Anolis sagrei: one gene and its partners. The protein of the gene in region 2 interacts with the protein of the main gene of each other region in a pairwise test. Links are inferred from orthologs where the notes say so. Each region holds a gene or a part of one and is shown on either strand. Other genes may lie near its edges.

What was found.
Region 1: the proteins of RNF41 (region 2) and ASB6 interact in binary tests that used the Homo sapiens proteins (3 or more experiments, as listed by UniProt). The link is inferred for Anolis sagrei from reciprocal best matches to the Homo sapiens genes RNF41 and ASB6.
Region 3: the proteins of RNF41 (region 2) and HOMER2 interact in binary tests that used the Homo sapiens proteins (3 or more experiments, as listed by UniProt). The link is inferred for Anolis sagrei from reciprocal best matches to the Homo sapiens genes RNF41 and HOMER2.
Region 4: the proteins of RNF41 (region 2) and ENOPH1 interact in binary tests that used the Homo sapiens proteins (3 or more experiments, as listed by UniProt). The link is inferred for Anolis sagrei from reciprocal best matches to the Homo sapiens genes RNF41 and ENOPH1.

The regions. Positions count from the first base shown.
Region 1 is NC_090031.1:3,738,491-3,746,784, forward strand, and holds the start of ASB6 (ankyrin repeat and SOCS box protein 6), read right to left. Parts: upstream 3,122-8,294; 5' UTR 3,039-3,121; intron 1,323-3,038; 5' UTR 1,311-1,322; coding exon 1,198-1,310; intron 1-1,197. UniProt on the Homo sapiens protein: Probable substrate-recognition component of a SCF-like ECS (Elongin-Cullin-SOCS-box protein) E3 ubiquitin-protein ligase complex which mediates the ubiquitination and subsequent proteasomal degradation of target proteins.
Region 2 is NC_090022.1:138,317,467-138,324,780, forward strand, and holds the start of RNF41 (E3 ubiquitin-protein ligase NRDP1), read right to left. Parts: upstream 3,425-7,314; 5' UTR 3,132-3,424; intron 1-3,131. UniProt on the Homo sapiens protein: Acts as E3 ubiquitin-protein ligase and regulates the degradation of target proteins. Polyubiquitinates MYD88. Negatively regulates MYD88-dependent production of pro-inflammatory cytokines.
Region 3 is NC_090029.1:32,558,380-32,566,009, forward strand, and holds the start of HOMER2 (homer protein homolog 2), read right to left. Parts: upstream 3,186-7,630; 5' UTR 2,758-3,185; coding exon 2,714-2,757; intron 1-2,713. UniProt on the Homo sapiens protein: Postsynaptic density scaffolding protein. Binds and cross-links cytoplasmic regions of GRM1, GRM5, ITPR1, DNM3, RYR1, RYR2, SHANK1 and SHANK3.
Region 4 is NC_090025.1:17,105,749-17,113,522, reverse strand, and holds the start of ENOPH1 (enolase-phosphatase E1), read right to left. Parts: upstream 3,150-7,774; 5' UTR 3,015-3,149; coding exon 2,931-3,014; intron 1-2,930. UniProt on the Homo sapiens protein: Bifunctional enzyme that catalyzes the enolization of 2,3-diketo-5-methylthiopentyl-1-phosphate (DK-MTP-1-P) into the intermediate 2-hydroxy-3-keto-5-methylthiopentenyl-1-phosphate (HK-MTPenyl-1-P), which is then dephosphorylated to form the acireductone 1,2-dihydroxy-3-keto-5-methylthiopentene (DHK-MTPene).

The DNA of each region.
Region 1 (8,294 bases), on a different chromosome or scaffold from region 2:
CACCACCCCTGCGAAGGTTAGGAGTTGCAGAAAGTCTAAACCTGATCAGGTGGTGGTCGGTCCATGGCAAAGGAGCGATGGACAGCTCCTCCACACCGCCACTATCTTCCCATCCCTGACAGAAAACCAGGTCAAGTGTGTGTCCAGCACAGTGGTTAGGGCCAGATACTCGTTGGGACAGCCCCATGTTTGCCATGGCGGCCATGAAGTCCTGAGCCGCTCCTGAAAGAGTGGTCTCTGCATGGACATTGAAGTCCCCCAGCACTATGAGCCGCTGGGACTCCAATGCCAGGCCTGAGACCAACCCTGCTAGCTCAGGTAAGGCATCTGCGGAGCAGCGGGGTGGTCGGTACACCAACAGAATCCCTATCCTGTCCCGGTCTCCTAGCCTCAGGTGGACACATTCGAACAAGGTTGACTGTAGGGCAGGGCACCTGACCAAGGAGATGGAATCTTTATAGACTACTGCAACTCCGCCTCCCCGCCCTCCTGATCTCGGCTGGTGCTGCACAGAGTAGCCTGGCGGGCAAAGCTGGGTGAGGTTGACCCCTCCCGCCTCGTCCAACCAGGTCTCTGTAATGCATGCCAGGTCTGCCTTTTCATCGTAGATTAAGTCCCGGATAGTTGACGTTTTTCCATTGACAGACCTGGCATTCAACAGCACCACCTTCAATCTAGGAGGGTCGTCTACCTTGGTACACAAGTTTACCTTGTCAGGAGAACATTTTGGAATTTTTTTTAGGGTTGTTTCGCGAATTAGCCGAATTGGTTTCTTGCTTCTCCCTTTCCCGTATCTCCCCCTTCCCACCATCACCGCTATGGGGGCCCCCCGACCCACAGAACTCCCCCCCTCCCTCCAGCCCTCTCCACTCATCATATTCTGAGGATCTAATATTGCACTGTTACATGTTACATCCAAGTTCAAACCTAATGATGTATCCTCCTTTTTTCCATTATTATAATTCATTTTTCCGGTTTCATGGTATACCCTCCAGTTCTTTCCAGAAACATTCCCAATGTTGACAACAATTATAAAGTGCAAGGTGAGACAAGCAACTATCAGCTTAAAATAGTAAATCAAGCGCAACATTAGAGTAACAACTACCGGAAAACTATCCCCTCGTTAAAGTGCTAATGAATCACAGTAATAAAGTGCTCCAGTATTACAATACTAGGATAAGGATAAATAAATCTTACCTCTTGGGGCCCTCCTGAGGCTCCGCCCCCTGCAGCCCCAAAGCGAGGAGGATCTCGTCCACCAGCGGCTGGTATTCGAAAACGATCCTCCGGAAGCCGTGCAGAAAGGGCATCGTCCGTCCGGCCTGAAAGCAAGCAACACTCCTTATCCCAAAAGCATGGTTCTTATGGGAGATTTGCATATGCATAATGAGATGCCTTTGCGGCCGGACCTGAGTCCCCACATGGTTCATGTCTTGCATTCATCATCGTTGATATGGAGTGTCCCTTCTCCAAAATGGTTGGAACCAGTATTTGGGATTTCTTTCCAATTTGGGGAGATCTGCACATGCATAACGATATATCTGAAACCCCAACACAAGAGTTCCTTTATAACGGAATATAATCTGCAACGATTATATGATTTATTATATTTATTTTTGATTTTATTATATTGATATTATAAGCTTCTATATTAAAAGGAACATGTAATATTTTATATATAATTATACTATTTAATATAATCTTGAATGCTTATATGAATTAATACAATTTATATCAAATATATATTTTATTCTATTTCATCGAATCAAATATCTGCTCTATTATTTAATATAATCTGGAACAATTATATGATTTAATATGAAATATCTTATTAAATTTAATATGATATAAGATTTAATAAAATAGCATATTTACATAATATCTATTATAATATAATCTGGTACAATTGTATGTTTTAATATAATACATTATTGTATTAAATTCAATATATATGATTTGACATAATCTGGAATGCTTATATGATGTAACATTAAGTTTGATATATATCATATTATATGTAATATAAAAATAACATGATTAAATATAATCTGGATGATATGCTTTAATACATTACATTAATATATTATAGATATTACACGTAACATAATAAAATAACACTGAATATAATATATATTCTATTATTTTATATAATCTGGAACTATTATGTGTTTTAATATAATATAATGTGTATTATATTAAATTTAATACAGTAAAATAAATAAAATAACATTTGATGTATTGTCGAAGGCTTTCATGGGTTGTTGTAGGTTTTTCCGGGCTATATGGCCATGTTCTAGAGGCATTTTCTCCTGACGTTTCGCCTGCATCTATGGCAAGCATCCTCAGAGGTAGTGAGTTCTGTTGGAGTTAGGAAAATGGGTTTATATATCTGTAGAATGACCAGGGTGGGACAAAGGACTCTTGTCTGCTGGAGCTAGATGTGAATGTCTCAACTGACCACCTTGATTAGCATTTAATTTATTTATTTACTTTATTTGTATACCGCTGTTCTCAGCCAGGCGACTCACAGCGGTTAACAACCAGAACAGCAAAAATTCAATGTTATCATAACACAGTATAAAAAACAGTTAACATCATAATGGCTTGGAAGTGCCTGGGGAGAATCTTTTGTTGAGAGTGATTAAACTAACACTTAATGTAATATATTCTATTTATTTGATTTACTTTGGTACTAATATTTAATATAATATAATGTATATTATATTAAATTTAATACCGTAAAATAAATAAAATAACATTTAATGTACTATATATTCTATTTATTGAATTTAATCTGGAACTATTATATGATTTAAAATAATATAATGTATATGATATTAAATGTAATACAGTAAAATAAATAACATTTAATGTACTATATATTATATTATTTTATTTAATCTGGGACATTATTACTCAATATAATATAATATTATAGATATTTGATCTATACTAATTTTATTATATTCAATACAACATAAAATAATATATATTATTTAATGCATAGATCAGGAGAGTCTCCCCCTGCACTCGCTCACCTTTCTCTCCTGCAAAACCTCTTCTTTTTCCGCGTCTCTCCTTTGCAAAGGCGGCTTCCCTTCCAGCCGAAAAGGAAGCGGAAGGAAGGAAGGAAGGAAGGAGGGCTTTTGGGTAGATTTGGAAACAAAACAAAAATGCAGTTTATCTCCTGGGCTTGGTTTCTCTGGCGCCACCTGCTGGCCGGGGGGAACTCGGCTGCTCTCCGCCAAAAGCCCTGCAGCGCCTCCCACGGCCACCGGAGGGCGGTGTTCCCTAACTAGAGGAAAGGAGCACGCCCCAGGCAGGCAGGGAGGGAGGGAGGGAGGGAGAGGTAGGTAGGTAGGTAGGTAGGCATGTGGGTGGATGGATGGATGGGGGGAGAGATAGATGGATCGATAGATGGATCGATGGATCAATAGAGAGAGAGAGAGAGAGAGAGAGAGAGAGATAAAGGGATAGACGGATGGATGGACGAATAAAGGTATAGATGGATGGATGGATGGATGGATGGATGGATGGATGGATGGATGGATGGATGGATGGATGGATGGATGGATGGATGGATGGATGGATGGATGGATGGATGGATGGATGGATGGATGGATGGATGGATGGATGGATGGATGGATGGATAGATAGATGATAGATAGATAGATAGATAGATAGAAGATAGGGGGATATATGGATGGATAGATAGAGGGATATATGGATAGATAGATAGATATCGATAGATCGATAGATAGATAGATAGATAGATAGATAGATAGATAGAGGGATATATGAATGGATGGATGGATGGATGGATAGACAGACAGATAGATAGATAGATAGAGGGATATATGGATGGATGGATGGATGGATGGATAGATGGATGGATGGATGGATGGATGGATAGATAGATAGATAGATAGATAGAGGGATAGAGGGATAGATAGATAGATAGATAGATAGATAGATAGATAGATAGATAGATAGATGATAGATAGATGATAGATAGATGATAGATAGATGATAGATAGATAGATAGATAGATAGATAGATAGATAGATAGATAGATAGATAGATAGAAGATAGGGGGATATATGAATAGATAGATAGAGGGATATATGGATAGATAGATAGATATCGATAGATAGATAGATAGATAGATAGATGATAGATAGATGATAGATAGATAGATAGATAGATAGAAGATAGGAGGATATATGGATAGATAGATAGAGGGATATATGGATAGATAGATAGATATCGATAGATAGATAGATAGATAGATAGATAGATGATAGATAGATGATAGATAGATGATAGATAGATAGATAGATAGATAGATAGAAGATAGGAGGATATATGGATAGATAGATAGAGGGATATATGGATAGATAGATAGATATCGATAGATCGATAGATAGATAGATAGATAGATAGATAGATAGATAGAGGGATATATGAATGAATGGATGGATGGATGGATGGATGGATAGACAGATAGATAGATTGATAGATAGATAGATAGATAGATAGATAGATAGATAGAAGATAGGGGGATATATGGATAGATAGATAGAGGGATATATGGATAGATAGATATCGATAGATCGATAGATAGATAGAGGGATATATGAATGAATGGATGGATGGATGGATGGATGGATGGATAGACAGACAGACAGACAGACAGACAGACAGATAGATAGATAGATAGAGGGATATATGGATGGATGGATGGATGGATGGATGGATGGATGGAGGGAGGGATGGATGGATGAATGGATGGCTCGAGGGATGGATGGATAGTTAAGAGAGAGGGTTAGATCAAGGGATGGATGGATTGATGGATGAACAGACAGATGGACAGAGAGGGAGGGATATATGGATGGATGGAGGAATAAAGGGGTAGATGGATGGATGGATAGACAGATAGATGGATAGAGGAATAAAGGGATGGATAGATGGAGGTATAAAGAAAGAGATGGATAGATAGAGGGATATATGGAGGGATGGGTGGATAGATAATTGGATAGATAGATAGAGAGGGGAGATATATGGATGGATGGATGGATGGATGGATGGATGGATGGATAGAGGAATAAAGGGATGGATGGAGGGATAAAAGGATAGATAGGCTAGATAAAATACATAGAGAGATAAAGGGATAGATAGAAATATTAGATAGATATTAAAAAATATAAATAAATAAATAAATAATGAAATTGAAATAAAATTAAAATAAAAACAATTTTAAAATATAATAAAAACAAAACAAAAATAAAAAAATATTATCTTGTCTCCTCTATGGATTTTTGGGATATATATTTCATAAAAATATTACTAATGTGTTAACAACACACACAGAGAGATATATACACACATATATATAATGTGATATATATATGTGTGTGTGTGTTATTAACATATATATACACACAAACACCCTGAATTAAAATACATTTGAATTACAGTGCATACTGAGGGCCCATTCTTTAAAGAAAATTACAAAATAACTTAGTAATATTAATCAAATATCCATATTTTAAAAATACATTTTTAATTACGGTTGATACCAAGGGCCCATTTACAAAATAATAATAATTTAGTAACACACACATATACATATATACGGTAGGCTGTTAGGAATTGTGGGAGTTGAAGTCCAAAACACCTGGAGGGAGGGCCCAAGTTGGTCCAGGCCTGGTGTGTATGTGTATGTGTTTGTGTATGTGTTTGTATGTGCATATAATATATTACATTTTAAATCACATTTTCACAATATGATATCCCGCCTGGGACCATGCAGCCATACATCCTATTATGCTGGGAGTTTGGGGAAGGAATGCAGCCTGAGAAGCCTCCGGGCCTTGGCAAACTACAACTCCCAGGGCGCCAAAGTGGTGCCAAACTGGATTAACTCCTGCAGTGTAGGCGCAGCTCCACTGGGCCTGCCTTTCTGCGGGGAAGAGAGGCTTCCTCCCAGCCTGGTGGCGTGGCTTTTGCCAAGGCCTGCCTGCCTGCCTTCCCTTTGAAGCCTTTCCCTCCAAATTCCAGGAAAACGCCGTCTCCCAAGGGCCTCTTCAGGCCCAAGAACTCCGGCGCCGCCGCCGCCCGGCTGCTCCCCCCTCAAAAACCTTATATATTATCGAAAATGAACGCCCTGCTCAATGCCACGGCCTCCTTGGGTTTGCACCGTTTGCAGCTTAGGCCCCTGGGAAACTTCAAATCCCAGGGTTCAATAGAACGGAGCTGTGAATGTTATCTTTCTAAGGAAGCATCCATATTATTCAATGAAAGCCATGCCCAATGCTGTGGCATCCAAGGACCCATAGTTTGCACCTCGGGCCCTTGGGGAACTACAAATTCCAAGGCCTCCATCCAATGGAGATTTATTTAGATATGGCCATTACCTTCCTTACGATGTGTCTGTATTATTGAACGAATGCTGCCATGCCCAATGCTGTGGCATCCTGGGACCTATAGTTTGCACCTCGGGCCCTTGGGGAACTACAAATCCCAAGGCCCCCATCCATTGGAGATTTATTTAGATATGGTCATTTCCTTGCTTACAACATGTCTGTATTATTGAACAAATGCCGCCATGCCCAATGCTATGGCATCCTGGGACCCATAGTTCGCACCTCGGGCCCTTGGGGAACTACAAATCCCAAGGTCCCTATCCAATGGAGATTTATTTAGATATGGCCATTACCTTCCTTACGATGTGTCTATATTATTGAACAAATGCCACCATGCCCAATGCTGTGGCATCCTGGGACCTATAGTTTTCACCTCAGGCCCTTGGGGAACTACAAATCCCAAGGCCTCCGTCCAATGGAGATTTATTTAGATATGGCCATTACCTTGCTTACGATGTGTCTGTATTATTGAGCGAATGCCACCATGCCCAATGCTGTGGCATCCTGGGACCTATAGTTTGCACCTCAGGCTCTTGGGAAACTACAAATCCCAATGCTCCCATCCAATGGAGATTTATTTAGATATGGCCATTACCTTGCTTACGATGTGTCTGTATTATTGAACGAATGCTGCCATGCCCAATGCTGTGGCATCCTGGGACCTATAGTTTGCACCTCAGGCTCTTGGGAAACTACAAATCCCAATGCTCCCATCCAATGGAGATTTATTTAGATATGGCCATTACCTTGCTTATGAAGCGACTGTATTATTGAACGGATGCCACCATGCCCAATGATGTGGCATCCTGGGACCCATAGTTTGCACCACAGGCCCTTGGGGAACTACAAATCCCAAGGCCCCCATCCAATGGAGATTTATTTAGAGATGGCCATTACCTGTATTATTGAACAAATGCCGCCATGCCTAATGCTGTGGCATCCTGGGACCCATAGTTCACACCTCAGGCCCTTGGGAAACTACAAATCCCAAGCCCCCCCATCCAATGGAGATATGGTCGTTACCTTGCTTAAGGCGCGTCTTTATTATTGAATGAATGCCATGCTTAATTAGATGGCATTCTGGGATGTGTAGTTTCACCTTGGAGAACTACGAATCCCAGGGATCCATAGAACGGGGCTGTGGGCTATTCTTTTTTCTAAGGGCGAGCCCATATTATCGAATAAATGCTAGAGCGCCCTGGGATTTGTAGGTTTGCAGCTCAGGGCCTTGGGAAACTACAGATCCCAAGGGAAGTGAAGGCTATTTGGGGAGGAAAGGGGCCGGGAGGGGTGGGAGCCGGGCGCCGAAAACAACAGGAAACCTCAGGGATGAGTCAATGGCTGAAAGGCATTTGGGGGAAAAAGGGATGATTTCACACAAACTGGAGTCACAGCAATGGAATGAGGCCCAAGCGTCCCATGGAAAAAGGTCACCACCATCCCCTTGCTTGCTTGCTTCCCTCCTTCACAACACATCCCTAGTATTATATTTATTGATAACCCTGCATTATCTCCCCAAAGGAGACTCAAAGCGGCAAGATCAATAATATTATTGATATTGCCACCCATCTATAATAATAATAATAATAATAATAATAATAATAATAATAATAATACAATACGTGGATTGCAAATGGCTAATAATCAATATACAAGTTGCCATTGGGTTCATATTATTGATATTGCAGCCATCTATTATTATTATTATTATTGGTAAATCAAGAGTTATAATCTGAGTATAATTATAATGGAGATAAGGGTGATAAGAAGAAGGGAAAATAATAATAATAATAATAATAATAATAATAATAATAATAGATGGTTGCAATATCAATAATATGAACCCTATGACAGCTTGTATATTATTAG
Region 2 (7,314 bases):
CTAAAAAATCCCTTGTGTCTTTCTCTAGGCATCTTCTGGATCAGGCATGGGCAAACCTACCGGCTGTTAGGAATAGTGGGAGTCGGAGTCCAAAACACCTGGAAGGAAAAAGTTTGTCCATGCCTGTTCTAGATCCTCCAGCATGGCTTTATGGTCTTCCTGAGGAATAATTTAGTCCTTCATTTCAATTGGGTGCTATTATCCATGACTCTGCATATCCATGCAAAGTCTGGGAGTTTCCGCTGTGGATAAAGGGTGTGTGTGTGTGTGTGTTTGTGTGCACTGTATCATTAAAGGTTTCCCAAAAGGTCTGGTACATTTACATTATTGGTAAATCGTGCTAAAGTTTCTGGCAATACAATGACATCATCCAGTCTCCATCCTTGTTGCTCAAAGAGCCAATAAACCGGAACTATCTTTCAACACACTTATTGGCTGGTGTTAAACACCATTTCTATATATACTGTTTTTAGAGGGTTAAACAGTTTTTAAAACTGTTATTTATGTTTACACTATTGTGCTATTTTGTTTTATTAATTGATATTTGATCACTGTCTGTAAGTTGCTGAGGTCCTTTAGGAAGAGGGGCGGAATATAAATAAAGCTTATTATTATTATTCATTATATAATGCATTCGTTTGTTTTTCTGTAAGTTGTCCAGTCCCTTTGGGGAGAGGGGGCAGGATAGAACATTAAGATCATCTGGGGAGGCCCTGCTCTCGGTCCTACAACCTTCATAGGTGAGACTGGTGGGTATGGGAGACAGGACTTTCTCCGTGGTGGATCCTTGGCTGTGGAACTCCCTCCCCAATGAAATTAGGTCTGTGCCCTCTGTCTTGGCCTTTTGTAAAAAATAATAATATTAAAACCTGGCTGTGGGTTCAAGCATTTGAGCAGTAAATGTAGCAACTAGGAAGAGAATGTTTGACGTGACCGGCAATAGACTGACCTTGGACTATGATTCTGAACTGGCGGACTGTTTTAAATTGAATGTTTATAATTGTTTTTAATTGCTGTTTTCATTGTAACTGTGTATTTTAATGTATTTGTTTGGCATCTAATGGTTGGCTGTTATAAGCCGCCCTGAGTCTCCCTCCAGGGGTGAGAAGGACAGGGGTATAAATACTTGAAATAAATAAAGATAAATGATGCTTATTATTATTATTATTATTGGATTTCCTCTTAGATATTCCTCATATTCGTGGTCAGTTTGCCGTTTTTCAACAAACAGTTTCTCTTTAGACTAGGCATGGGCAAAACTTGGGCCCTCCAGGTGTTTTGGACTTCAAAGCAAATCTATATATATATAAATGCTTTGTGCATAATGATTACCTTAAAAACAAAAGAACCAATGAACAAAATCACACCAAATTTGGCAACAAAACGTCTCACAACACAAGGAGTGACCATCACTCAAAAAATTATGATTTTGTCATTTGGGAGTTGTAGTTGCTGGGATTTATATTTCACTTACAATCAAAGAGCATTCTGAACTCCATTAACGATGGAATTGAACCAAACTTGGCACACAGAACTCCCATGACCAACAGAAAATACTAGAAGTGTTTGGTGAGCATGGACCTTGAATTTGGGAGTTGTAGTTCACCTATATCCAGAGAGCACTGTGGACTCAAACAATGATGGATCTGGACCAAACTTGGCACAAGCACTCAATATGCCCAAATATGAACACAGATGGGAGTTTGGGGGAATAGACCTTGACATTTGGGAGTTGTAGTCACTGGGATTTACAGTTCACCTACAATCAAAGAGCATCCTGAACCCCACAAAGGACAGAATCGGGGGCAAACTTCACACACAGAACCCCCATGACCAACAGAAAATACTTAAGGTCATGCAATACAACTACCTTCATCAGGGCAAGAAAACGTAATCAAAGTCCTCCTGACAAGGAGCCATCCAGCCATAGATAGATATAGATAGATATGATTCACACAGAGAGAGATATAGTATCATAGATTTGAAAGAGACCCTTAAAGAAGGACAATGATATGTTGCATGGAGGCAAACCAGACACTCTCCACATAAACACTGACAAAGAAAAAGCAAGAAATACTCTTTACCCACAAGCATAAAGAAATTACATATAATAGAAACCAACACTTTCTCATTACTTTATTGTCCAGATCAACAGACTGGGCCACAGCAATGCGTGGCAGGGGACAGCTAGTAAAAAATAAAAATGTATTGTCAAAGGTTTTCATGGCCAGAATCACTGGGTTGTTGTAGGTTTTTTCGGGCTATATGGCCATGTTATAGAGGCATTCTCTCCTGACGTTTCGCCTGCATCTATGGCAAGCATCCTCAGAGGTAGTGACCTCACCTAGTCACCTCACTACCTTGATGCTTGCCACAGATGCAGGCAAAACGTCAGGAGAGAATGCCTCTATAACATGGCCATATAGCCCGAAAAAAAAAAAACTACAACAACCCAAGTAATAAAAATAATGCTTCTTATTATTATTATTATTCCCATTGAGTTTCCCCTTAGATATTCCTCACATTCATGGTCAGTTTGCCGTTTTTCAACAAACATGTCCTCACTGTTTCTATTTAGACCAGGCATAGGCAAACTTGGGCCCTCCAGGTGTTTTGGGCGCCAACTCCCACAATTCCTAACAGCCGGAAGTCCAAAACACCTGGAGGGGCCAAGTTTGCCTATGCCTGCCTTAGACATACCTTCTGCTCATGGTAGTTTCTCATACACTGCGGAGGCCAGAACTGCCTGGAAGTGCTTGTCAAGCCTTGGAAGAGGAAGCCCCACTGTGGGCGCGTCTACACTGCAGAATTGATGCAGTTTGATCTCACTTTAATTGCCATGCCTCAATTGCTGTGGAAGCCTGGGAGCTGCTATTCGGCCAGGCCTTGAGCCTTTGCTGCCCAAGGAGGCCGGTGCCTCACCACACTACACATCCCAGGAGCCATGGCCGCACAGGGGGCGTCGAACAGCCCCGATTGCCCAGCGGGCCTCCCTGGCAACAAGGGCGTCTAAGGCGCGACCGGCGGCGGCCCTCAGGCGCTGTGCCTCCAAACCACCCCCCGCCCCGTGGCCTTTCCCCGCTCTCCCGCTCCCCGCGGCAGGCCCCCGCCCCGCCTCGGCTCCGGCCTACCTCCCGCGGGGCCCGGCTGCGGGTGGGGGAATCCGCCGCTCCGCCGCTCGCTCCCCCACCCCTTTCTTTCTCCCTCACAGCCACCACCGGAAACACGCCAGCTCCAACCCGGATGCCCGTCTCTCTCTCTCTCTGTCTCTGTGCCCTCACAGAGGCGGGGATGGGGAAGACTGAAGGAGGGCGCGCGAGGCGGACCACTCTAGCCACCTGGAGAAAGACGCGACTCGCTCACCCCCGCCCACTCTATGTATCGCCCGCTGCCCGACGAGCCAGGCGGAGAGGCACGCGGCGGCCGAGTGGGAGGGGCTTTGAGGGGTGGGCGTGCCGGAGTGGGAGGGGCTTGTTTGTACAGCTGCACGCCGGAGGCACCCAATGGGTTAAACCACTGAGTTGTTGAACTTACTTACCGAAAGGTCGTAGGTTCGAATCCAGGGAGCGGCATGAGCTCCCGCTGTTAGCCCCAGCTTCTGCCAACCTAGCCGTTTCAAAACATGCAAATGTGAGTAGATCAATAGGTACCTCTCTGGCGGGAAGGTAACGGCGCTCCATGCAGTCATGCCGGCCACATGACCTTGGAGGTGTCTACGGACAACGCCGCCTCTTCGGCTTCGAAATGGAGATGAGCACCACACCCCAGAGTCGGACACGACTGGACTTAATGTCAGGGGAAAACCTTTTTTGCTGTCCTAAGTGCCCTGGCTGAATGCCATGGAAAAATGGGAGTTGCAATTTAAGAAGTTCTGTACCCTTCCCTGCCAAAAATGTGCCTGACCAAACTACAACTCCCAGGATTCCATAACATGGAGCCAATGCAGTTAAAGTGGTGTCAAACTACACCCATTCTACAGAAGGCATGGGCAAACTTTGGTCTTCCAGTTGTTTTGGATTTCAACTCCAATTCCTAACAGTCTACTGGTTGTTAGGAATTGTTGGAGTTGACGTCCAAAACACCTGGAAAGCCGAAGTTTGCCCATACCTGTTCTACAGTGTACATTTAACTCATTCTGTTATTTAGCTTCAGCAGACTGAAAGCCAAACCAAGGTGACAACATCTGTTATAGAACTGCAATATGCTGATGATAATGGAGTCTGTGCTCATTCAGAAGAAGGCCTACAAGTTACTTGAAACACATTTGCAGAAGCATACGAAAGCATGGTTTTTTCCACATTTAGAAAACAAAAGTGCTCTTTCAGCAGGCACCAGCCAGTCTCTCTGCAATGCTGGAAATACAACTTAATGATGTAACATTAGAAAATGTTGACCATTTCCACTACCTTGGTAACCATCTCTCCACAAAAGTCAAACATTGACACTGTAATGTAACACCACCTGAGCTCTGCGAGTGCAGCATTTTTCCAAATGAAACAGAGAGTGTTTGTGGATCAGGACATCTATAGGGAGACCAAGGAGCTTGTTTATAAAGCCATTGTTCTCCCAACTCTGTTATATGCCTACAAAATGTGGACACTCAACAGACGTCACATGCAACTCCTAGAACGATTCCATCAGCGCTACCTCCGGAAAATCCTGCAAATCTCTTGAGAAGACAGGCAGACAAATGTCAGTGTCCTAGAATAAGCAAAGACCACCAGCATTGAAGCGATGCTCCTACGACATCAACTCCAGTGGACTGGCCACGTTGTCTAAATGCCTGATTACCATCTCCCAAAGCAGTTACTCTGTTCTCAGATCAAGAACGGAAAATGGGATGTTGGTGGACAAGAAAAGAGATTTAAAGATGGGCTTAAAGCCAATCTTAAAAACTGGCATAGACACTGAGAACTGGGAAGCTCTAGTCCGTGAGCGCCCTAACTGGAGGTCAGCTGTGACCAAAGTGCTGTGGAATTGGAAGCGGCACAAACGGAGGGCGAAAGTGAGAAATGCATCAAGAGGAAGGTGTATCAAGCCAACCCTGACCAGGACCTTCTTCCATCTGGAAACCAATGTCCTCACTGCAGAAGAACATGCGGATCAAGAAGTGGGCTCCAGAGTCACCTACAGACCCACCACCAAGACACTGTGCTTGGAAGGCCATCCCACTCGGACACGAGTGATCACCAATGTTGACAGTGTAGATGCATCCTTACTCAGGGATTTTATATTAGGCATGAGTGGGGAGTTGTCTTCTGCTTCTGGAGTCAAATAGTTCGCCTGATGTCATTTCCCTTCCACTTTTTTCTCCCTTTGCATAAGTGTGCACAAAGGTATAACCAAAGGCAGAACAAAGCCAAAAATAACATTTAACTTGACAGCAGTACTTTTTGAGGCCTGAATAATCAGATATGATCAATGTTCTTTTTGAAAAGAGAATAAACAGGTTTTTCTGCCTCTTATATAACATCTGTTGCAAGTTAAGAAGATTCTCTGCAACTTCCTTCATTCCTTCCTTCTGTAAAGAAAATGCTCTTCATCCTACTTTCCCCCCCTGTTCTCATGTTACTTCAAGTTGAGGATGGAGTCCCTATCCCTTTTTCTTCTCAAAATGTGTTCAGAAGGGGTTGGCCATGGCCTTTCTCTGAGGCCCCTTCTACACTGCCATATAAAATCTGCTTTGAACTGGATCATATGTTGGTGTACACTATATAATCCAGGGCCTTTCCACACAGCCATATAACTCAGAATATCAAGGCGGAATATTTATTTACCTTATTTATACCCCGCCTTTCTCTACTGGGGGGGGGGGGGGCAGTAACTCAGGGCCGGGACTCAATATCTGCTTTGAACTGGAATATCTGAGTCCACATGCCATATATCCCAGTTCAAAGCAGATAATGTGAGATTTTATTCAGCTGCGTGGAAAGGACCCCAGTTCAAAGCAGATAATGTGGACTATCTGCTTTGATAATCTGGATTATGTGGCAGTGTAGAAGGGGCCTGAGACTGAGGGAGTATAATTAACACAGGCCTCTTCTACACTGCCATATAAAATCCAGATTATCTGTTTTCATAAAATTGATTATATGGCAGTGTAGAATGGGGCCTGATATAACCTATGCAGAAACAGTAAAAAAAAAAAGTAGATTGGCATTTACTTGTTTATCACTGGACACATTAGACTCCCTGTAAAGTTGGTCACCACCTAGGTTGCAGAAAAATTATGCTGGAAGGTGTGGAATTGGGGTGGTTATTTGAAACATCTTATGAACTGAGGCTGGATCAGCACTGCCAAATAATGCACTGTACTACATTATATGAGTTTCTGAACTGACCATTGTAATGCAGTTCAAACTGCAGTGTCGATCCAGCCTCAGTTCAGGTATTGACCACAAATTCCTGGGCAGAGAACATGCCCAGAGGTGCTCTGTTCCTTAGCATCTCTCTGTCTATCAGAGTCACCATCTGACTGGTTGGTGGCGCTTGAGGTTCTAGTAGAAAAAAGAAAAGGAAACCACAAAGTAAAACCTGCAGATTTGCATTCTGTCAACTCTGTACCACAAGCGGGAATAAATCAAGGACCTTGATTGAAATGGTTGAGTCTATGATATTCAGAGCTTGAGGGTGATAAGTTAAAAGCAGTGAAGAATCTCTTTGTGGAGAAAAGGGTGCCATGAGAGTAATGCCCCTTCTACACTGCCCTGTATCCCAGGATCTGATCCCAGATTATCCGCTCTAAAGTGGATTATATGAGTCTCCATTTCCCTATCATCTGGGGGCCCTTCCAGACAGGCCCTATAACCCGGGATCTGATCCCAGATTATCCGCTTTAAACTGGATTATCTGGCAGTGTGGACTCATATAATCCAGTTTAAAGCAGAAAACCTGGGATCAGATCCTGGGTTATAGGGCCTGTCTGGAAGGGCCCTGAGATGAACAAATAATCTGGGATCAGATCCTGCGATATAGGGGCAGTGTGGAAGGGACCTAAGGTAGCAATAATTTATTTATTTGTATAATGAGTTTGAAGTTACTTCCAAAATACAACTTCTTAACAGTCCCCTCCTTCAAAGTTCTGTGTCATTCACCTTCATGTGTGATGTGTCCTCAAGTTGCCTATCGATTTATAACAAATATAAACATATTCTTGTTTTATTTCACCTTAATTTCATAGCGCTTTTTAAAGACCAGGTACCCTTAGAGGTGGGTTTTTGAATTCCTTCCTCTAAATTTCATACATTTGTACCCTGCCCTTCTCACCCCCGAGGAGGGACTCAGGGCGGCCTAAAATACAGCCTAAAACACTTC
Region 3 (7,630 bases), on a different chromosome or scaffold from region 2:
GTCCTGAGGCTGTTAGGAATGGTGAGAGTTGAAGTCCTAAACACCTGGAGCAGGGCTGTAGCCAGAAAAAAATTTCGGGGAGGGTTGAAAATTTCGGGGGGGGGGGGGGTTGAAAATTTTGGGGGAGGGGGGGGGTTGAAACCGGCCTCCTACCTCACGCTGAAGCAAAGAGCACAGCCGGGGGCAGAGCAATCTTCAATAGTCTGCAGCTCAACTCCTGTAAACCACCTCCACCAAGTCTGGTCTCCTTAATGAGAGCATTCAACACACACACACCCAACTTGGTTGCTTCACTACATCGGCTATGGCTGCAAGTAATGACAGTGTGAATAAATTGTCAATCTATGCTTGAGATAGTGCTTACAGTTCTGGAGGAACTCTTAATTTTTTGCATCTCATAGACTTAGCATGGGAATTTGGTTAACCAGTTAAAATTCATGAGTAAGCCAGGTTTTTTTAAAAAAATCTGAAACATTTCGGGGGGGGGGTTGAACCCCTAAAACCACCCCCTTGCTACAGGCCTGGATGTCCGAAGTTTGCCCATGCCTGCTTGAGCACTTCTCAGGAAGGTCTCCCATCAAGTGGAGAGGCTTCCCCACGACTTAGTCTTTTGACCCTTCTCTCCGCCAGCCAAGCCCAATGTATGGCCAGCTCTTAAGTGAATCTCAATGAGGAATCCACAGGATGGGAACCTGGCAGGTGAGGGGGGAAAGGAAGGGGCCTGAGGCTCTTAGGAATGGTGGGAGTTGCAGTCCAAAACACCTGGAAGGCTCAAGTTGGAGACCTGGCTGATGCAGTCTGGCACAGGCATGGGTGAACTTGGCCCCTCCAAGTATTTTGGACTGCAGCTCCCACCCTTCCTAACAGCCCCAGGTCCCTTCCTCCCCCCTGCCCCCCCCCCACCAGCCACAGTCCAAAACACCTGGAGGAAAGGCCCACGTTTGCCCATGCCTGCTTGAGCACTTCTCAGGGAGGTCTTCCATCAAGTGGAGAGGCTTCCCCACTGCTTAGTCTCCCAATGTACCCAGAAAGGGAAGAAGAAGGCGGCATGCTCGAGCAGCAGCTGGACCTTTCCATTTCCCACTCCCCCATCTTTTGGCCCTTCTCTCCGCCAGCCAAGCCTAATGTATGGCCAGTTCAACGAGGAATCCACACGATGGGAACCTGGCAGGTGAGGGGGGAAAGGAAGGGGCCTGAGGCTCTTAGGAATGGTGGGAGTTGCAGTCCAAAACACCTGGAAGGCTCAAGTTGGGGACCTGGCTGATGCAGTCTGGCACAGGCATGGGCGAACTTGGGCCCTCCAAGTATTTTGGACTGCAGCTCCCACCCTTCCTAATAGCCCCAGGTCCCTTCCTCCCCCCCTCCCTCCCCCCAGCCACAGTCCAAAACACCTGGAGGAAAGGCCCAAGTTTGCCCATGCCTGCTTGAACGCTTCTCAGGGAGGTTTTCCATCAAGTGGAGAGGCTTCCCCACTGCTTAGTCTCCCAATGCACCCAGAAAGGGAAGAAGAAGGCGGTGTGCTCGAGCAGCAGCTGGACCTTTCCCTTTCCCACTCCCCCCATCTTTTGGCCCTTCTCTCCGCCAGCCAAGCCTAATGTATGGCCAGCTCAATGAGGAATCCACACGATGGGAACCTGGCAGGTGCTTAAGCAGCTGAGGGGGGAAAGGAAGGGGCCTGAGGTTGTTAGGAACGGTGGGTGTTGAAGTCCAAAACACCTGGAGGAAAGGCCCAAGTTTGCCCATGCCTGCTTGACCACTTCTCAGGGAGGTCTCCCACCAAGTGGGGAGGCTTCCCTTCTCCGTGCTCTCCCTCTGCGCCCAGAAAGGGAAGAAGAAGGCAGTGTGCTCGAGCAGCAGCTGCCCCTTTCCTTTCCCTTCCCTTCCCTTCTCCCCCCATCTTTTGGCCCTTCTCTCCACCAGCCAAGCCCAATGTATGGCCAGTTCAACGAGGAATCCACACGATGGGAACCTGGCAGGTGCTTAAGCAGCTGTGGGGGGAAAGGAAGGAGCCTGAGGTTGTTAGGAACGGTGGGTGTTGCAATCCAAAACACCTGGAAGGACCAAGTTTGCCCATACATGCCTGCTTGAGCACTTCTCAGGGAGGTCTCCCACCAAGGAGAGAGGCTTCCCCACTGCTTAGTCTCCCAATGCACCCAGAAAGGGAAGAAGAAGAAGGCGTGCTCGACCAGCAGCTGGACCTTTCCCTTCCCTTCCCTTCTCACCCCATCTTTTGGCCCTTCTCTCTGCCAGCCAAGCCCAATGTATGGCCAGCTCTTAAGCGAATCTCAATGAGGAATCCACACGATGGGAACCTGGCAGGTGAGGGGGGAAAGGAAGGGGCCTGAGGCTCTTAGGAATGGTGGGAGTTGCAGTCCAAAACACCTGGAAGGCTCAAGTTGGGGACCTGGCTGATGCAGTCTGGCACAGGCTCAAGCAGGCATGGGCAAACTTGGGCCTTTCCTCCAGGTGTTTTGGACTGGGGCTGGGGGGGGGGAGGGGGGAGGAAGGGGCCTGAGGTTGTTAGGAAAGGTGGGTGTTGCAGTCCAAAACACCTGGAAGGACCAAGTTTGCCCATGCCTGCTTGAGCACTTCTCAGGGAGGTCTCCCACCAAGTAGAGAGGCTTCCCCACTGCTTAGTCTCCCTCTGCGCCCAGAAAGGGAAGAAGCAGGCGGCGTGCTCGAGCAGAATCTGGACCTTCCCCGGCTCACTCACCCCATCTCCCGGTTCTTGTCTCCTCCGGGCAATCCCGCCTGCATTGCCGGGGGCGAGAGAGCGCTGGACAGCGGCGGGGTCTCTCCTCCGCCTCGCTCTCCTCCTCGGCAGGGAAAGGCGGGCGAGTCCCCACTTCGCACATCCCTCCGGGTGGAAAGGGGGACCTCCGGGTGGGTCGCCTTTCAGGGGCTTTTACATAAGAGCCGGTCCGGACGAGAAGGCTCTCTGCTTGGCTGCTTGGCTAGCGGACTCTTCTCCTTCTTCTCCTTCTTCGCTGGGGATCCAGCTCTGGACGAGGAGGAGCAAGAGGAGGCTTCAGGTCTCACCTTGACCCCACCTCTCTCTCTCTCTCTCTCTCTCTCTCTCTCTCTCTCTCTCTCTCTCTCTCTCTGCCTCCCTCCCACTTCCCTCTCTCTCTCTCTCTCTGTGATGATCTGCAGCCTCCTCCTCGGACACTCGCCCAATGCTGCTGCTGCTGATCAGACTCAGAGGCGGAAGGAGGTGTGGCTTGAGCAAAAGGCCCCGCCCCAGCTCCCACGTTCACCCCGCCCCCTCCCCTCCCCTTCTTTGGCAGCTGGACCCACGTGCGTTCCATAAAAGGTATGGCATCCCCTCCCCAAAATGCATGCACCCTTCACATCTTATTCTGAATCTCTTCTTTGCACTTCCCCCAAATTGCATGCACCCTGCACATCTTCTCATTCTGAAGATACGTTTTGAATTCCCTCCAATTGCATGCACCCTGCACTTCTCATTCTGAAGATCTGTTTTGCATTTCCCCAAAATTGTATGCACCCTGCACATCTTCTCACTCTGAATTCCTCCCAAATTGCATGCACCCTGCACATTTTATCATTCTGAATCTATGCTTTGCATTCCCTCCAATTGCATGCACATCTTCTCATTCTAAATATATGTTTTGCATTCCCCCCCCCCCAATTGCATGCACCCTTAACATCTTATCATTCTGAAGATATGTTTTAAATTCCCCCCAATTGCATGCATCCTGCACATCTCATTCTGAATTTGTGCTTTGCATTTCCCCCAAATTGCATACTCCCTGCACATCTTATCATTCTGAATATATGTTTTGAATTCCTCCCAAATTGCATGCACCATGCACATCTTCTCACTGTGAAAATATGTTTTGCATTTCCCCTAAATTGCATGTACCCTGCACATCTTCTCATTCTGAATACATGTGGAGTATCTTGCATTTGTCACTGTTGAACTTCATTTTGATGGGCCAAAACTAACAAAATAAAGTTCAACAGTGACAAATGCAAGATACTCCACTTTGGCAGAAAAAATGAAATGCAAAGATACAGAATGGGGGACAATGCCTGGCTCGAGAGCAGTACGTGTGAAAAAGATCTTGGAGTCCTCGTGGACAACAAGTTAAACATGAGCCAACAATGTGATGTGGCGGCAAAAAAAGCCAATGGGATTTTGGCCTGCATCAAGAGGAGCATAGTGTCTAGATCTAAGGAAGTAATGCTACCCCTCTATTCTGCTTTGGTTAGACCACATCTGGAATATTGTGTCCAATTCTGGCACCACAATTCAAGAGAGATATTGACAAGCTGGAATGTGTCCAGAGGAGGGCGACTAAAATGATCAAGGGTCTGGAGAACAAGCCCTATGAGGAACGGCTTAGGGAACTGGGCATGTTTAGCCTGAAGAAGAGAAGGCTGAGAGGAGATATGATAGCCATGTATAAATATGTGAGAGGAAGCCACAGGGAGGAGGGAGCAAGCTTGTTTTCTGCTTCCTTGGAGACTAGGACGCGGAACAATGGCTTCAAACTACAAGAGAGGAGATTCCATCTGAACATTAGGAAGAACTTCCTGACTGTGAGAGCCGTTCAGCAGTGGAACTCTCTGCCTCCGGAGTGTGGTGGAGGCTCCTTCTTTGGAAGCTTTTAAGCAGAGGCTGGATGGCCATCTGTCAGGGGTGATTTGAATGCAATATTCCTGCTTCTTGGCAGAATGGGGTTGGACTGGATGGCCCATGAGGTCTCTTCCAACTCTTTGATTCTATGATTCTATGATTCTATGTTTTGCATTCCCTCCAATTGCACGCACCCTGCACATCTTCGTCTTATTCCTTTTTCATTCTGAATCTATGTTTTATATTTCCCCAAAATTGCATGAACCCTTCACATTTTATCATTCTGAATCTATGTTTTGCATTCCTCCCAAATTGCATGCACCCTGCACATCTTCTCATTCTGAAGATATGTTTTAAATTCCCTCCAATTGCATGCACCCTTCATATTTTATCATTCCGAGTATATGTTTTGCACCCACCCATACACACAAATTGCATGCACCCTTCACATCTCATTCCAGAGATCTATTTTTCATCTCCCCACCGCTCATTGTATGCATCCTTCACATTTTCTCATTTTAAGTATATGTTTTGCATCCCCCCAAATGCATGCACCCTTCACATCTAATCATACCATGTATGATTTTACAGCAGTGTTTCTTCATCTTCCTAATACCGCAACCCCTTAATACAGTCCCTCATGTGGTGGTGACCCCCAACCATGAAATTACTTTTGTTGCTACTTCATAACTAATTTTGCTACTGTTATGAATCATAATGTAAATATCTGATATGCAGGATGTATTTTCATTCACCAAATTTGGCACAAGTACCCAATATGCCCAAATTTGAATACTGATGGGTTTGGGGGGGGGGGGCAGACGGGACTGATTTTGTCATTTGGGAGATTTAGTTGCTGGGATTTATAGTTCACCTACAATCAGAGAGAATTCTGAACTCCACCAATGATGGAATTGAACCAAATTTGGCGCACAGATCTCCCATGACCAACAGAAAATACTGGGAGGGTTTGGTGGCTACTGACCTTGAGTTTTGGAGTTGTAGTTCACCTACATCCAGAGAGCACTGTGGACTTACGCAATGATGGATCTGGACCAAACTTGGCACAGATACTCAATATGCCCAAAATGTGAACACTGGTGGAGTTTGGGGAAAATAGACCTTGACATTTAGGAGTTGTAGTTGCTGGGATTTATAATTCACCTACAATCAAAGAGCATTCTGAATCCCACCAATTATAGAATTGGGACAAATTTCCCACGCAGAACCCCTATGAGCAACAGAAAATACTGTGTTTTCTGATGGTCTTTGGTGACCCCTTTGAGACCCCCTCGTGACCACCCTAGGATCCCAACCCTAGTTTGGGAAACGCTGTTCTGGAGATATATTTTGCACACCCCCCCCCCCCCCCACACACACACACAATCGTCTGCATCCTTTATATCTTATTATTCTGGTTATATGTTTTGCAAACCCCCCTCCCTCAATTTCATACACATTTCACATTGTCATTCTGGAAATATATTTTGCAACCCCCCAAAATGCATGCCCCCTTCACATCTTATTATTCTGGACATATATTTGGACACCCACCCCCCCCCCCCCCACACACACACACACAATTGTAGGCATCTTATCATCTTATCCTTCACATCTTATAATTCCTTATATTTTGCACATCTCTCCCAATTGCATGCACCCTTCACATCTTATTATTCTAGGTATATGTTTTGCACACACACACACACACACACACACACACACACCGCGATGCATGCACCCATCACATCTTATCATTCTGGCTATATCTTTGCATGGCTCCCTTCCCCAATTGTATGCACCTTTCACGTCTTATCCTGGAAATATATATTTTCCATACACACACACACACACTCCAAATGCATGTACCCTTCACATCTTATCATTCCAAATATATATATTTTGCATTCCCCGCTCCCCCCACCCCTTAGATGCATGATGTCAGCTGCATTAAGATCACTCTGACCAAAAGGTCATGAGTTCGAAGCCAGCCCGGGCTGGGAGTGGGTGTCCAGCCATTGTGTAGCCCATGTCGACCTTTGCAACCCGAAAGACAGTTGCATCTGTCAAGTAGGAAAAATAAGGCACCACCTTGTGTGGGAGGCTAAATTTAACTAATTTATGAGGCCATAAAGAAAAAAGACTCTGGGGAATGTGGAATGCGGAAGAACTTCATCGGTGTCGTTGATGGACGATGAAAAGCAGCAGCTCCCCTGGCGGCCAGAAAAAAGTTAAATAGCCTTGGTGTATTTGTGTGTTAAACGTTGTTTGTCAAAACTGGCATTGAATGTTTGCCATATATGTGTTGACTGTAATCCGCCCTGAGTCCCCTGCGGGGTGAGAAGGGCGGAATATAAGAACTGTAAATAAATAAAAAAAATAAATACCCTTCATATCTTATTCTGGAGACATATTTTGCATCCCTTCCAAATGCATGCATCATTCACATCATTCTGAATATATGTTTTGCACGTGCACACACACACCAATGCATGTACACTTCACAGTTTATGATTCTGGGTATGTATTTTTGTATCTTCCCAAATGCAGGGATCTTTCACAGGATTCAAGATCCTGATTCTTGTGAAATGAGAAGAGCCTCTTCACATGAGGTTTTCAACTTTGGTCAATGACAACAGCACTTGGCAAGGGTCTACTCTTGGAACCCTTGGCATCAAATGGCCCTTTATAAGGTGGAATATGTTGCTCCCATTACGGCTTTGTTATCACATACATTCTTCAAGGTAATGTGGTTTTTCCATCGCCTCCAAATCATGAAAGATCAACACAGTGTTTGTTTATGTTGCATTAATTCTTATTCAAAGAAATAAAGTAACCATTGTGCAAGAAATGAAAGAAAAGACATATACAAAGAAACAAATTACACCAAACAAAAGGGCAATATATCTTGCCCACGAAAACAAACATTTTTTCTTAATATAAAACACTAACTTATAACAACTAACAAAACTCAGCTTCCTTCTGCAGCTTACCACGAGCTGATATGTCTTCCAGCTGGATGAATAA
Region 4 (7,774 bases), on a different chromosome or scaffold from region 2:
CTCCCGTCTGCCAGCTCCAGCTTCTTTACTTCACTTCACTTCACTTTATTTCTTAATTAGTCGCTCTCCACCAAGGTGCTCCGAGCGACTTACAGTCTAAAATAGCATTTACACAATATAAAAACATTCAACATAAAAACATTCAACAGTAACTATTTGGCAAATTAGATCTGATTACTTAAATGCACAACCAAACAGCCGAGTCTTGAGACATGAGAGAAGCCTCCCATAGGATGGTAAAACATCCAGGCATCCCCTGGGCAACGTCCTTGCAAATGACCAATTATCTCACACCAGAAGCGACTTGCAGTTTCTCAAGTCACTCCTGACATGAGAAAAAAAAGTATTTTATGAAATTCTGTCCCCAAATTCCATTTTCCTCCAGTCTTCAATTTTTTACATTACAGCAAGTGAGGAATTTTACTTTAGATACCTAAACTGGCGTTTTAAGTTGCTGCAATGCTATAAATCAGGTTTTTTTGTTTCCTTTTTTTTACTATGGTTGCAGAACTGTTATTATAGGGATTTCGTTTTGCTGCATTCACTGCAAAGAGACAACCCTGGATCAGATTTCCCTGAAGGCAGAAGGGAGGTCTGATATAGTTCTGTGATCAAATGCATTCAGCAATTTGAATTGGGAGTTGTACCCCAAATTTAAAATCTGAAAGGGAATGGGACCTATTTGGTGTTCAACAGCTTCCTTGCGAGGAGGAGCAGTCAAAATTACTGAAGCAGCAACTTGTGATATGACAGCCCTATCCTGATCCCATCCGATCTTGGAAACTAAGCAGGGTCAGCACTGGTTAGTATTTGGATGATTTGGAGACTGCTAATGGTGCTGTAAGCTAACGCAGCATTACATTTCAGACAAGAAACAATCAGAGCCAGCCAATCACCTTCTAATAAAGGATTCCCCCAGGTAGGAAGCAGCCAAGCTTTGAAGCTGCAAGGCCATTCAATGCTAATCATGCCAGCCAATTGTAACATTCACATCTGCCTCAAACACTTGTGAACCGCGTTGAGTCGCCTACGGGCTCAGAAACTGCGGTATACAAGAAAAGTAAATAAATAAATAAACAGACAAGAATTATTTTTCCCACCCTAGACATTATTCCAGAGATATATAAACCTCACTTGCCTAGTTTCCAACAGACCTCACAACCTCTGAGGATGCTTGCTATAGATGTGGGCAAAATGTTAGGAGAGAATGCTTCTGACACATGGCTATACAGCCTGGAAAACTCACAGCAACCTTAATGTTTTCTCTACAGCAATTGCTATAATTCATTTTTTTTTACCAGGGTTGTATTGTGAATTTATGATGTTGTGTTGACTGTTTATTGTTTATGTTTTGCTTTGCACTTGTTGTATTTTGATTGTCACACCTTGAGTGTTCTGTGAGCCGCCCCGAGTCCCTTTGGGAGATGGTGGCAGGATATACAAAAAAGACTATTATTATTATTATTATCATTATTATTCCTGGCCTAGGAAAAACCATGCAAAAATTCAAGTCAACAATCAACTTGAGGTGCATCTACACCAGGTATGAGCAAATTTAGGTCCTCCAGATGTTTTGGACTTCAACTCCCATAATCCCTAACAGCCTCAGGGCCTTTCCTTTCCCGCTTGAGCGGCTGTAGGGGAAAGGAAAGGGCCTGAGGCTGTTAGGGATTGTGGGAGTTGGAGTCCAAAACACCTGGAGGACCTAAGTTTGCTCATAACTGATCTACACTATAGAATTAATTAAGTTTGACCCCATTTTAGCTGCCACAACTCAATGCTAGGGTTTGATGGGAGTTGTAGTCTTGCAAGATCTTTGGCCTTCTCTCCCAAAGAGTAATGGTCCCTCACCAAACTACAAACCCCATTATTCTACATCCTAAGCACTGAGCTAAGGAAGTGAAAGTGAATGCAGAATTACGTTAAGTCGACAGTGCAGATGGGCAACATTATAAAATGTTATTGACCCCCCCCCCCATGGGCTCCTGGGATTTGCAGTTTTATAAGGGATGCACCTGCACTAGGATGAATGCAGTTTTTAGTCCCCACTTTCCTTCATCTTGACTCCTGGGATTTGTAGTTTTACAAGGGCTGCATCTACAGCAGTATGAATTCACTTTGGCACTACTTTCACTGCCCTGGCTCCCTGCTATGGAGTCTTGGGATTTGTAGTTTTACAAGGGCTGCATCTACACCAGTATGAATTCACTTTGGCACCACTTTCACTGCCGTGGCTCCATGGTATGGAATCATGGGATTTGTAGTTTTACAAGAGCTGCATCTACACCAGTATGAATTCACTTTGGCACCACTTTCACTGCCTTGGCTCCATGGTATGGACTCATGGGATTTGTAGTTTTACATGGTATGGGATTTGTAGTTTTACAAGGCCTGCATCTACAGCAGTAGGAATTCACTTTGGCACCACTTCCACTGCCTTGGCTTCATGGTATGGAATGGGATTTGTAGTTTTACAAGGCTAGCATCTACAGCAGTAGGAATTCACTTTGGCATCACTTCCACTGCCTTGGCTTCATGGTACGGAATGGGATTTGTAGTTTTACATGGTATGGGATTTGTAGTTTTACAAGGCCAGCATCTACAGCAGTAGGAATTCACTATGGCACCACTTTCACTGCCCTGGCTTATAAAACTCACCAAAACGGTGCTAGACTGCATTCATTCATTCTACAAGGTAGGAGATGCAGCCCTTTGCAAAACTACAACTCCCATGATTCCATAGCAGAGAAAAGGGGTGTCAAAACTGCAAAAGGGGGTGTCAAAACTGCAAAAAAGGGTGTCAAAACTGCAAAAAGGGGTGTCAAAACTGCATCTTTCAGAGATGCATACAAAACGCACAGATCCAAAGCCAAAGGGGGTTTTTTTCCTCCTCCCCACTACACAGCCCATCATCCCCCCGCCCTCCTCACCTTGACGAAGGCGATGGGAGTTGTAGTGCCTTCGATGTCGAGCAGGAAGACCCTGACTTCCGCGGGCACCGTGAAGCCCACCATCTCCGAGAGGAAAAGAGGGAGAGGAAAGAGGAAAAGGGGGAGCCAATCAATGGGTCTCAGCCGATGCAGCAGAAGGAAGCGCCGCTCGGGCTGAAGCTCACGCCCAAAAGGGAAGAGCAGCCTCCTCTACCCACGTGGCTGGAAGCAGGGCAGCCGCATCCGGATTTGGTCCCCTCCCATTGGCAGCCAAGGAAAAGGAGAGAGAGAGGGAGAGAGAGAGGAGGGCAGAAGGGGCGCCATGGAGGTGGATGGCGGGGAGGCTCCCTGCTATGGACTCCTGGGAGCTGTAGTTTTCTAAGGGATGCATCTACACTAGTATGAAGGCAGTTTGGCACAGCTTCCTCTGTCCTGGCTCCCTCCTAAGGACTCCTGGAAGTTGTAGTTTTCTAAGGGATGCATCTACACTAGTATGAAGGCAGTTCGGCACAGCTTCCTCTGTCCTGGCTCCCTCCTAAGGACTCCTGGGAGTTGTAGTTTTCTAAGGGATGCATCTACACTAGTATGAAGGCAGTTTGGAATAGCTTTCTCTGCTCTGGCTCCCTGCTATGGACTCCTGGAAGTTGTAGTTTTCTAAGGGATGCATCTACACTAGTATGAAGGCAGTTTGGCACGGCTTTCTCTGCTATGGACTGCTGGGAGTTGTAGTTTTCTAAGGGCTGCATCTACGCCAGCATGAATGCCCTTTGGCACCATTTTCACAGCCAGGGCTCTATGCATTGAATCCTGGGAGTTGCAGTTTCACAAGGGCTGCATCGCACATGGGGTATATAGTTTTTACAAGGGCTACATCTAACTAGAAGGAATGCAGTTTAACCCCCACTTTCACTGCCCTGGCTCCATTCAATGGAATTCTGGATTTTTTTTTAAATTTAATTTATTGTGTGTGTGTGTGCGTTCTAAGGGATGCATCTACACAACTATCAATGCAGTTTGGCACCACTTTCACTGCCCTGGCTCCCTGCTATGGAATCCTGGGGTCTGTAGTTTTCTACGAGCTGCATCTACACTAGTATGAATTCCCTTTGGCGTCACTTTCACTGGCCTGGCTCCATGTTAGGAAATTCTGGGATTTGTAGTTTTATAAGGGGTGCATCTACATCTTACACTGGATGCACCTTGGCTCCATTTGAAACTCCTGGTTCCATGCAATGGAATCCTGGGAGATGCAGTGTTCCAAGTTCCCAAATTTGTGGGTCAATCACCCCAAACCCCACTAGTATTCAAAGTTGGCCATGTTAGGTCTGTGTGCCAAGTTTGGTCCAGATCTGACATCAGGTGGGTTCAGTACTCTCTGGATAAGGGTGATCTACAACTCCCAAAATCAAGGTCAATTCCCACAAACCCCTGCAGTATGTTCAGTTGGTCATGGGGCTTCTCGGTGCCAAATGTGGTCCCAATCCATTGTTGATGGGGGGGGGGGTCACAGTTTCTATGGATACAGGTGAACTATAACTCCCATAAATTAAGATCATCTCTCCCCCCCCCCCCCCCAGATGTCTCCAGTATATTCCGTTGATCATGGGGAGTCTGTGTGCCAAGTTTGGTTCAGGTCCATCATTTGTGGTCTGTGGAAGTTGGAGCTGAATCTGGTGAAGGTACTACAAATCCTGTCATTTTTGGCCCATCCTCCCCCAAACCGCAACAGGACATAAAGTGGGTCATGGGAGGTCTGTGTGCCAAGTGTAGTCCTGGTCTGTCCTTCGTGGGGATTGCAGTGGCCTGTGGTAGTGAGTGAAGATATTTTCCTCCAGATGTGATGTTTTGGCGGTGGGTCCGTAGGTGGCTGTGGAGCCCTATTCTTGCTCCGCATGTTCTCCTGCAGTGGAGTTTCCAAACGGAAGGTGGTCCCAGTCAGGGTTAGCTTGTCGTGCCTTCCTCTTGGCACGTTTCTCCCTTTTGCCCTCCATTCGAATTCTGCAGCACTGCTGGTCACAGCTGATCTCCAGTTAGAGTGCTCAAGGGCCAGGGCTTCCCAGTTCTCTGTGTCTATGCCACAGTTTTTGAGGTTGGTTTTAAGCCAATCTTTGAATCTCTTTTCCTGTCCACCAACATTCTGTTTTCCGTTCTTGAGTTCGGAGTAGAGTAACTGCTTTGGGAGACGGTGGTCGGGCATTCGAACAGCGTGGCCGGTCTAGCACAGTTGATGGTGGAGGAGCATCGCTTCAATGCTGGTGGTCTTTGCTTCTTCCAGCATGCTGACATTTGTCCGCCTGTCTTCCCAAGAGATTTGCAGGATTTTTCGGAGGCAGCGCTGATGGAATCGTTCCAGGAGTTGCATGTGATGTCTGTAGGCAGTCCACGTTTCGCAGGGTTGGGAAGACAATGACTTTTTAAACAAGCACCATGGTATCCCTATGGATTTCCCAATCCTCAAATATTTTCTGTTTCATTTGGACAAATGCTGCACTCGCAGAGCTCAGGTGGTGTTGTATTTCAGAGTCAATATTGTATTTTGTGGAGAGGTGGCTGCCAAGGTAGCGAAAATGGTCAACATTTTCTAATGTTACACCATTAAGCTGTATCACCGGCATTGGAGAGGGATTGGCTGGTGACTGCTGGAAGAACACTTTGGTTTTCTCAATGTTCAATTACAGGCCGAGCTTCTCGTATGCATCTGCGAAGGTGTTTAGAGTGGCTTGTAGGTCTTCTTCTGAATGCGCACAGACGATGTCATCAGCATATTGGAGTTCTATAACAGATGTTGTTATAACCTTTTGGCTTTCAGTCTGCTGAGGTTAAATAGGTTGCCATCTGTCCGATAGATTATTTTCACTCCGGTGGGAAGCTTCCCATCAGCAAGATGAAGTATCATAGAGATGAAGATGGAGAATAAAGTTGGGGCAATAACACATCCCTCTTTGACACCTGATTCCACCTTAAATGGGTCACTTTGGAGCCACTGCTGTCCAAGACAATTGCCATTATGTTATCATGGCTTTATAAACAAGCACCTTGGTATCCCTACGGATGTCCCGATTCTCTGCTTCATTCGGAAGAATGCTTCACTCGCAGAGCTCAGGCAGAGTTGTATTTCAATGTCAGTGTTGACTTTTGTGGAGAGTTGGTTGCCAAGGAAGCAGAAATGGTCAACATTTTCTAATATTGTACCATTAAACTGTATTTCTGGTATTTATTTATTTTATTTAGTACATTTCTATACCGCCTCTCTCAGCCTTCCGGCGACTCGAGGCAGTTTACAAGGCAAGAATTCATTGCCGCCAAGGACACAATTACAATATACGATGTAAAAAACATCAGTAACAATAAAATCAAACATTGTAATGAAACATACTTCAACCGATAATCATTAAAACAATGTCCAGTTATGCCATATAATTATTCCATTATTATATCAGTTACTCCGTTAAGATTCTTCCAGAATGACAGGAGCGAGGAAGCCAATTGACTCTCCCTAGGAAGGGTGTTCCATAGCCGAGGGGCCACCACTGAGAAGGCCCTCTCTCTCGTTCCCACTAGCTGTACTTGTGAAGATGGCAGGACCAAGAGCAGGTTCATAAGAGGAGATTCGTTCGGACAGGTAAGTTGGGCCAGAACCATTTAGAGAAGGAAGAGCACTTTGGGGAGTTGCAGTGACCTGTGGTAATGAGTGAAGGTACTGCAAAGCCCATCATCCGTGGCAAGTTTGGTCCAGATTCATTGGTTGGTTTCACAGTGCTCTCTGGATGTGAACTACAACTCCTATAAATCAAGATGTACCTAATGTAGGCCATAGGAAAGGGTAAAGGGAGAGCCAGGGCCTGAGTAGTGAGTGACACTTTTGTTCAGTGCACACAAGCTTTGTCCTATCATTCTGTGAAATATAGACTGAAGAGGTCAATGATACCTGATTCCACCTTAAATGGGCCACTTTGGGAGCCACTGCTGTCCAAGACAGTTGCCATTATGTCTTTATAAACAAGAACCTTGGTATCCCTACGGATGTCCCGATCCTCAAACACTCTCTGCTTCATTCGGAAGAATGCACTCGCAGAGCTCAGGCGGAGCTGGATTTCAGTGTCAATGTTGACTTTTGTGGAGAGTTGGCTGCCAAGGAAGCAGAAATGGTCAACATTTTCTAATATTGTACCATTAAACTATATTTCTGGTATTGGAGAAGAAGCGCTTTGGGGGGTTGCAGTGACCTGTGGTAGTGAGTGAAGGTAATGCAAAGCCCATCATCCATGGCAAGTTTGGTCCAGATTCATTGGTTGGTTTCACAGGGCTCTCTGGATATGAACTACAACTCCTATAATCATAGAATCAAAGAGTTGGAAGAGACCTCGTGGGCCATCCAGTCCAACCCCCTGCCAAGAAGCAGGAATATTGCATTCAAATCACCCCTGACAGATGGCCATCCAGCCTCTGCTTAAAAGTTTCCAAAGAAGGAGCCTCCACCACACTCCGGGGCAGAGAGTTCCACTGCTGAACGGCTCTCACAGTCAGGAAGCTCTTCCTCATGTTCAGATGGAATCTCCTTTCTTGTAGTTTGAAGCCATTGTTCCGCGTCCTAGTCTCCAAGGAAGCAGAAAACAAGCTTGCTCCCTCCTCCCTGTGGCTTCCTCTCACATATTTATACACGGCTATCATATCTCCTCTCATCCTTCTCTTCTTCAGGCTAAACATGCCCAGCTCCTTAAGCCACTCCTCATAGGGCTTGTTCTCCAGACCCTTGATCATTTTAGCCGCCCTCCTCTGGACACATTCCAGCTTGCCAGTATCTCTCTTGAATTGTGGTGCCCAGAATTGGACACAATATTCCC